2 linked regions of the Oryzias latipes genome follow. The main gene of each other region encodes a partner of the protein of the gene in region 2 in a complex. Links are inferred from orthologs where the notes say so. Each region holds a gene or a part of one and is shown on either strand. Other genes may lie near its edges. The genes, in order: mms22l and tonsl.

Region 1 (4,364 bases), on a different chromosome or scaffold from region 2:
ACTTCCTTCCACTCCCTTTCAAGCCATCTTTGATTTAATGTCTAATTATCCTAAGTTTGATACGTCTTTGTTGATTGCTTGAAATAAAGCATTTCGAATCAAATCAAAATTTATGCAAACCTGCTGCAGGAGGAGGATCTTATTTGACACAAGGTGTGTTTTATTTTGAAAGGAACTTATTTTTGCTGCTGCTAAAAGAAATACAACTTAAAATAGTTAAATACTGAACTACTGTAAAAAATGTAAAGGCAACATTTTAATAAAGGACACAAGGAGTGTTTGTCTTAACCGTGAAGTGGGACTTTTTGGCTCTGGCTGGAGTTTGGTCAGTAAGAAACTGGACCAAATGACTCTCTGTGTACGTTCATGTTTTCTAAATCTTGATCTCGCTTGAATGAAGTTCATTTGTTTGTGTTGTATTGTGCTTCCAGTATATCAAATTATGCAGAGACATGGGAAAACATATAGGTGATCTAGATTTGTAGGCAAAGAAAATCCAACGACTTAACACTAACTTATACAATCTGTTGATTTAAACCTACATGTCTCTTTGCTGTAGCAAGAACAAAAAACAAAAATGTTTTAGAAAGAATCGTCCTGACTTCGTTTTTGAAGTTGAAGATGCTTTTATCTCATTTCCGAAAAGACTTTCTCAATTGTAAAAATAAACTAGTACCGGTGAATGAACTGCTTTTGTAAGCTCCTCCGATGGAGTTTGGACTTGACGGCGATCCAAAACAAAGATCTGTGAACTACAACAAACACTGACTTACCAAAGTCATGAGAGGAGGACTTGACCAAAGTCTCCAGTTTGTAAACATTTTGTCTGAAACACAAAAACCAACAGAAATACATACAGAAAAGAGATGAAATGATCAAGAACATTATCAGTTATAATAGTTGTGTTTGATGCTTCTGAGGAAAAGGACTTTTAAAGTAAGGCGATAAATCTACCTGAACAGACCAAAGAGTAGTTTGGTTTTTTCCACCAGTGCCGTCTCCGTCACCCAGACGAAGCCAAAGATCTCTACCGTGTCTGCCTCACACTCAGCTGGTGCTGGGTCCAGCCGTAACAGCATCCTGGCATTCAACAACACTATTAACAGAGATTCTCTTCCTCCACTGTGGAAGATTTTTTCCTCCCATATTTCTAAGTAATATTCAATTTTCAATTGAAAATTCAGGCTTGAAATTTGAAAATATATTTTGCAATTTAGAATTCAATATGAAATTTACTATTTAGTCTTACATTAAAAAAAAATAAAATATTGAATAAAAGCAACCTCAATTGCATTTTCAATTGTCATGGGTTTTTGACAGTAAAATAAGAACTGGACTGAGCGACTTTTGCCCCCGGCATTCCAAATAGGAAGTACCCGGATGTCCCAAAAAGCCGAGATCCCATGGACTTTTATAGTGAAGTAAACAGCTATTACTCAGTCATTATGTTCATCAGAATAATCAGTCTGACCAATAAGAGGCTTCAATAAAAGAAGTTGGCCTTGGGTTGAACGTTGAAAGTGTTTGATTGACAGATTCTCCCAAGCCCGCTTTTATAGGAAGGGTGTGGCCTTCTAACGTACTCACTCCTGTTTGCAGAGAGCGGCTGACATAGAAATGTAGACGGACCAATCGTGGCTTCCTGAGGAGGTCGGATTCCAACATGGTAACGCACATATCGCGGAGAAATGGCGACAGCATTGACTTAATTAAGTTGGAAACGGAAGCGAGGCCTTTTTTTTTACGAGTGAGGTCACATGTGATCCGTCCAGTTATATGTTAAACAGTCAATGGTCTTTAGTGCTATAATTGTTTATTTCTTCATAGACGTCTATGGGGTTTTGGATTCTTGGAGCCAGCAGGAACTTCCTGTCTGGAACGCAAAGTGGAAGGGGACACTCAGTCCAGTTTTCTTATGCAGTCAATGATTTTGATGCATATGCACAGATGCAAATTAGTATGCAATAAATTTACAATAAAATGGATTTAAATCAAAGAATTGAAATGTAATTTTTTAATAATAAATTGTAATTTCCTAAATGCTATTTGATTTTATTTATGGTACTAATAACCCACAACGATTTAAAGTGCTACTTTAAATCTCTCACTAGCTCACTAGTGCTACTAGTGATTTTGCTTTTATTTAAAATTTCGTTTTTTAAATCTAAGATTGAACTCAAATTTTTCATAATGAATTCCAAGTTGCAAACTAATAAAAACCCTTAACTGAATGATTAAATTGTTAATGAATTGTAAACTGAGAATTAAATCTTACTTTGTATAATGGGCAGAAAAAACAAACAAAAAAAAACCACCACACTACAGCACTCAAAGTGTAGTTTCCTTCAGTGGATGTCAGAAGCTCAAAGCCCCACATTAGCATGAAAATTTGCCCGTCTGTCTGTACCGTTTCAGGGAGCCTCTGGCAGCGTATCCTTCAGGTGACAGAGCAGCAGCGGCTTCATCTTTAACCTCAGAGCAGCAGAAATGCGGTGGACGCGCAGGAATCGGATCACAATGACTGTCTGAAGTGAATGGGGACACTGGGGGAGTCAGAGACTGGCTGAAGTCATCAGACATTCTGTCGCACCACGAGCGATTTCCCCAATGAGCTGAGAAACGAACACGCAGATTACAGCAATTATAGTAAACTCTACTTAATTCAAATACCAACATTAATTACAGGAATGATAACTGGCATTACAAGAATTAAAATAAGGCTGTGTGGACACTAACCTTTTATTTCCTGTTATCAGTGATCTAATGCATCGAGTGTAAATTGAATCAAAAGCGGAGAATTAAGTAATCCCTACATTTGTCATGACGCGGTTGTTTTGGTTTTGAGGCTCTCCCGCGCATTTATCAAACGCATGCGCACTTCTTTCAAGGCAGTTTATTGGGCAGTCTTACCAAAATAGGCGTGTTTTAGTCGAACTTCCGGACAAGATGACTCCCTGTTGAAGACTTCCGTCTTCGCTGAACGATTATAAAATGATTGAGCACGAAGTTGTTGTGTCTTTCTCTCGCCATTATTTGTCTGGAAATATATAAAAAAGGTTTTAGATTGGTATTCAATTTTAAATTCAAAAGTGCCTAACAAAGTTCTGCCATAGTCGGAAACATTTACATAAAAACGAGATGCCCGCAGATCTTTGTCTAACAAAGTACATTGTGCCGCCGTCACACCATTAATTCATGATTTATCACATTTAAAACCATATTGTTTTTGTGAATTTCAATGCATTGCATCTGCATGTTCATCTTGTCCGGTCAAAAGATGTCTAACTGAGCCTGGTTTTCTTGTTTTCTGCTACATTTTTGTAATAAAACCTTTAAGAATATGACTTTTAAATATTTTGGTATTGGTAAATATCTATATCAATATGAATTAAGAAAAACAAACATAAAATTTTTTTGATTGAGTTTATTTGATAATAGTCATATAAGTTCCCATAAATTTTTATGTACATAGGCCCACTGTATATGTAGAGCTCAAGGTTCTATTTTAATAATTTCTTGCACCCTTGAAACCCATATAAACTCTGACATAGGATGTAGGTGCAGACAGTCACAAGAGATGAATAAACCTTCTGTCAATGGGCGGGGATAAAATGATGACGACATCCTGACGCTTGCTGTCAAAATATGGTCCTCTCTCTCACCACATAACTATCAGCTACACAAGCGCTACACAAACCTTATTGATTTGCTTTCACCTTGTAAGTTTAATCAAGTCATTTTTTATGTTTTCATTCAAAACTAACCTTGGTTAATAAGAAAAATCTGTTATCATATGAGTTGGTATTAAAACTTGACTAAGATGAAATTTTCATTCAAAAATAACACATTAATGTAGTTAACTGCTTCTTTCAAAATATATTTTAAATTAGGTTCGATTTATATTGGCATTTATGATATTTTGTTTTTAGTTTTCTATTGGGTTCTCTTCCAAACAGAAAATTGTAAGTAAAAAGGAAATAAAACAAAGACAGTTAACAGTTAACAGATCTAATAATACATTGGGATTGTAAAGTTATGCAGAAAAAGGATTATTTTTTCTGTCTGGCTAACATAGGCCAATTTATACACAAATGCAATATCTTATGTTATTAGAGTAAAAGATCCTTTCAATTTATAATTGATATGCATTTGTCAAATCATCACCAAACATCATCACCAGCAAAAATGATTGCAGAAAAGAGCAGCTAATAAATAAAATTTCCTCTATAGATGTACTGAAACTGTTGGAGACTTACTTTTATATTGGCTTGATTGCCTCAAACAATAGAAAAACATTTATTGATTCACATTTTTTAGAGTTTAACTGGTTTCCCTGTGGATATTGCTGATCAAACCGTTGAACT
Region 2 (4,370 bases):
CCAACACGTTTAAGGTTTTTGGTTATTATTTTCTTCTCCCTTTTTATCCACTTTTTCAAAAAAGAAACTCAACTGTGGGGCAAAATCAGGATTAGCTTAAAGAGAAAAGAAAAACAGACAGTACATTTGAAAAAAAAACAATATTTAACAGCTTCAAACACGAAAATACATATTGTTAAATTGAAAAAATATTGATTTTTTGTAAATAAATTGTAAAATTCAAAAAGATAAATATTCCCTATTTGAAGAAATACAGAACTGAAAAAATAAACTATACACATAAAACTGTTAGATGAAAAAAAATGTTTATTTGTAACAGCTGTTTTTTTGAATTTTCAACTTTTTTTTTTTTTTGCTTTCTTTCTCTAATTCCTTTTCATCCCTCAAACTACAATATCAATTCAGAGTTTTCATTTTTGGAGTCGATCCAACAAATAAAATGAGGACTAAAAAGAGGAGGAAAAAAACACATTTTGAAAAAGTTTAAAATACAGAAAAGCAGCTGTTTTACAAAAAATGTGTTTGATTTGGTAACAGTTTTAGATTTATAGTTGTTTTTTTTAAAAGGTTTTTAGTATTTCTTTCATTCAATTTTTTTTTTCAAATTTACAATATTTCTTTCCAGATTACAATGTGTGCTTTCAAATATAAAACTGTTTCCAATGATACAATGTGGTTTTTCAATACCTTTAAAGACCAACTCTGATCATCTTTAGAACTATTGAAAAAGCTTAGTGGTCTTTTAATTATAATTTGGTTGTTTTTAGCCCAAATTTAAAAAATACTAGTAGAAATTAACCTCTGAGTTGTGTTTCTTTAAATATCTCCTCCATCATCAGACAAATGCCACAAAAACAAAATTTTCCTTGGAGTGTGTCTGTAAACCGATCTTGATTTGACCCCACAGTGGAGTTTCACACCCACCTCGACAGAATTTCCCTGTCGTAAAGCCAGCTCCTTCCTGTAGTGCTCCACCGCTTTGCCGTGCCGCCTCAGATCCGTGTACGTGGCGGCTAGAGAGACGTGGATGACGGCCAGTTCCCTGGCAGGCTTTCCCATCTCTTCAGCTCCCTTCAGCTAAACCACAAAAGATTGTTTTTTTAGTTTTTTAATAAAGTGTAAGAGACGGCCTGAACGAACGTGTTCAGCGTTCATCTTTTGCTGTTTCTCACTTGAGCTTGGTAGGCATCCACAGCTTTGCTGTAGCATCCGACCTTACAGCAAAGGTCCCCCAGCTGCTCCGCCAGCTCCACGGCCTGACGAGGGCCCAGCCTCTTGCCCTGATCTTCACCCAAGTCTTCCTCTAATTTACAACCCCGGTCAGCTGAGGAGAAAAACACTTTTTTGCTGAGATAAAGAGAAATACTTTCAACGGCCAGAGCGAGCGGATGGAAAACTCTTACCGTATTTGAAGGCTTTCTTTACAGCCATTCTGTCCTGTGGTTGCTGGGATCCCAGCTGGAGGGCCTTCTTCAAGGATCGTCTGGCTGCTACAAAATCCCCGAGAGACAGCTGCACCTGCTCACAGCCATTTGCAGCATGAACTACTCAGACCTGTAAAGCCACAGCTGCGGGGAGCAGCGGAGGTGACAGTACCTTGCCGATGCAGTGAAAGCACTCGCTCTCAATGAATTTATCCTTCATCTTCCTGGCGCACTCTTTGGCCTGCTCCAAGCACCGCACGGCGTTGGAGTGCTCGCCGTTACGGAAATAGATGTTACCCAGGTTGAAGTTTGCCCGGTAGAGATCCTCCAGCAGCTGGCTCTTTCTTTGGAAAGTCAGAAGAAAAGGGAAAGGATCGCTGACAACCCATCAGGGATGCACGACAACACACCCGACGTTTGGTTTGTTCTTACACGGCAATGAAGACGCTGCGTCGGATGAACTCGCTGCAATGTTTGGACTCCCCCAGGTGATCACAGACGATACCCAGATTGAGGAAAAGACGAGCTTTCATCTCAGCGATTTCTCTGTCGGGGACAGTCCCTGCAGGTTGCAAAAGAAAAAAGATTATGACAAATCCTCCATATTCGATAGTTCTTGCAAAAATAGAAACGAACCAGTGCAGACCTCCCAAACGCTCATCCACAATAGCCAGACTCTTCCTGAAAGCATCCTCTGCCTTCTTCAAGCTGCTCTTGGATTGGTCGGATTCATAACGAAAGAGGTAGGTTCGACCGATGGTGGCTAGAGCTCGTTGCACCTCAGCGTGATCGCCTACAGAGTGAGCCAAGTCCAGATGACACTGCTGATGCTGGAGGGATTCAATCACACACACACAGATCCATGATGGGGTCTGAAACCTGACCGTCATCCTTTGTTCCTCAGGTTTACTCACTTTCAGAGCAGCTTTGATGTTCCCCATCTCTGCATAGCATTCTCCTATCTTGCGGTTTGCCACAGCTCGTCCGATCACATCATCCAAGCTCTCGGACAGAGACAGCTCCTGCTGATGTTCTCTGATGGCTGCCTCATAATCACCTACAACATATGGAAAAACTTGCAATAACACACAAGCATGAAGAAAAACAAGGGTCCTAAACGGCTAAGTTGGAGTTGATCAAAGCTGAATACCATTCCTGGACAGCAGCTCTCCCAGCTGGTTGCAGATGTTGGCTTCTTCTTTTAGGTTGTTGCTAGCTTGAGCTTTACTTTTAGCTTTCTGCAGCTCTGCGAGCGGAAATCAAAACAAGTCAGTTGACGCACGCGCCCTTTAGCAAGAGCAAAACTTTAACAAGTTAGCGATACTTACGCTTGATCTCCCGCGAGGAGCTCATTTTCGTTCTCCTCACCAGTAAGGCAGCTTCACTTAGCGCCACTAAACTACCGCCAGTTCGCACATTAATCGATCAGACGTTTCTCTTCATTTAAATGTCAGGGTTTTGGTCTATCCTCTGTCGTTTCTCAATCACATGCGTGTCCAATCCTGCGTGATTATTAGCAAGAAAAACAAATTCGCACATCAAACACGTATGAATATTTGCCTGTTTTTAGCTTCGATTACACAAAACAATTCCGATCGGCCCGCCAGGAAAAAGCGTCAGCCGATCCTTTTAGAAGGATTAACTTTTACCTAAACTTTGACTTACAGGCATAACCACTGCTGAAAGTTTTTCTTTTCAATCTCGCCTACCAAACTATGATGACTAACCTTACCTTTAAATAGCATGAAATATCAAACAATGATATAGATAATTTCAAACGTGAAAATCGAGTGAGTTTATTCTAGTCTAGTATGCCTGTCAAACGTTACGTTGGGTTACTTCACCATCATAGAAGCGATCGATAATTGGCCAGTCAGCTTGTGACGTTTCAAAGGAACAGAATTAGAGTCACCCTTATTTAAATGATCTTGTTTTGATATAAAAATAGTACAGACGTAAAATTGCTATAATTACCAAAACAAATAACGTGAAACTGACATACACGGAGATCAAATAATGTTTAAGAAGTCGCCGAACTAGCTTTTTTCCCCATGCCACAGCGCCCTCTTGTGGACACCCACATACTTGCTCAGTACGTACGTTTCTTTTCCTTTGACAAATGTTAGTAAATCTAAAGTATTTTAATGAAATGTGCAATTATTAGTGAGTATTTTTTATTTAAAACATTAGAGCATAATGTAGGTTATTTTTATTGTTGGTTTAATTTTGATCCCATTTAATATTTCAAGTAAGTTATTTTAATGAAGAAAAATAGGTTTAATGAAAAAATAGGTTTAGGGAGAAAGAGACTGATTTTTTATTTTATTTTATTTTAGTCTCTTGAAATCACATACTCACTCATATAAACAAATGAGTTAATTGACATAGCCATTTTTAAAATAAAAAGGCTATTCATGTAGCTTGTCTGCTCCAGTCGTCTTGTTTTGCTGTTTCACCAAAGGATCCAGAAATCTGAAGTGCAAACAAAACAATGCCTGGGATTATTTGAACTAGTTTTGAGGTTGACACAGATGCAGCTAACCCAAATTCACGCGGTCATAATCCAGCTGTTCATCCTGCCAGGGAGAGGAGAGGAGAGGAGAGAAAATAAATAAATAGAACAAGTGAGGAGGAGAACATGTGGCCAAGCAGATGCTGGCAACAACTTACTCAGTTACATATCATGCCAATTTTTGGTTGTTTTTGAATGAAAACTCATAAGGAAGATGACTTTGATCATGCTTTTTTTAAATGTTTTTTTTTCCTGCAATTATTTCCAAAAATGATTTTAGCAAAGGGAATTTTTCAAGGCTGCTTGTTGGGAAAACGGTGTTTGGTTCTGCACACACATTTACCTGTGTTTTGCGGCATTCAGAGATAATCCCGACCTCCTGAGAACAAATCAGTGAAAAACACCACAGCAGGAGGTTATAAAGAGGAAAAAAA

Evidence for each region.
Region 1: tonsl (region 2) and mms22l share a complex: the UniProt entries of both Homo sapiens proteins name them as parts of the MMS22L-TONSL complex. The link is inferred for Oryzias latipes from reciprocal best matches to the Homo sapiens genes TONSL and MMS22L.

What each region holds. Positions count from the first base shown.
Region 1 is NC_019874.2:5,052,811-5,057,174, reverse strand, and holds the start of mms22l (protein MMS22-like), read right to left. Parts: upstream 2,847-4,364; 5' UTR 2,737-2,846; intron 2,613-2,736; 5' UTR 2,581-2,612; coding exon 2,408-2,580; intron 2,398-2,407; exon of another isoform or gene 2,384-2,397; coding exon of another isoform or gene 2,316-2,383; intron 1,081-2,315; coding exon 955-1,080; intron 827-954; coding exon 774-826; intron 1-773. UniProt on the Homo sapiens protein: Component of the MMS22L-TONSL complex, a complex that promotes homologous recombination-mediated repair of double-strand breaks (DSBs) at stalled or collapsed replication forks.
Region 2 is NC_019880.2:10,034,922-10,039,291, forward strand, and holds the start of tonsl (tonsoku-like protein), read right to left. Parts: upstream 3,061-4,370; 5' UTR 2,778-3,060; coding exon 2,753-2,777; intron 2,671-2,752; coding exon 2,575-2,670; intron 2,500-2,574; coding exon 2,339-2,499; intron 2,255-2,338; coding exon 2,071-2,254; intron 1,987-2,070; coding exon 1,857-1,986; intron 1,769-1,856; coding exon 1,597-1,768; intron 1,519-1,596; coding exon 1,404-1,518; intron 1,325-1,403; coding exon 1,173-1,324; intron 1,078-1,172; coding exon 925-1,077; intron 1-924. UniProt on the Homo sapiens protein: Component of the MMS22L-TONSL complex, a complex that promotes homologous recombination-mediated repair of double-strand breaks (DSBs) at stalled or collapsed replication forks.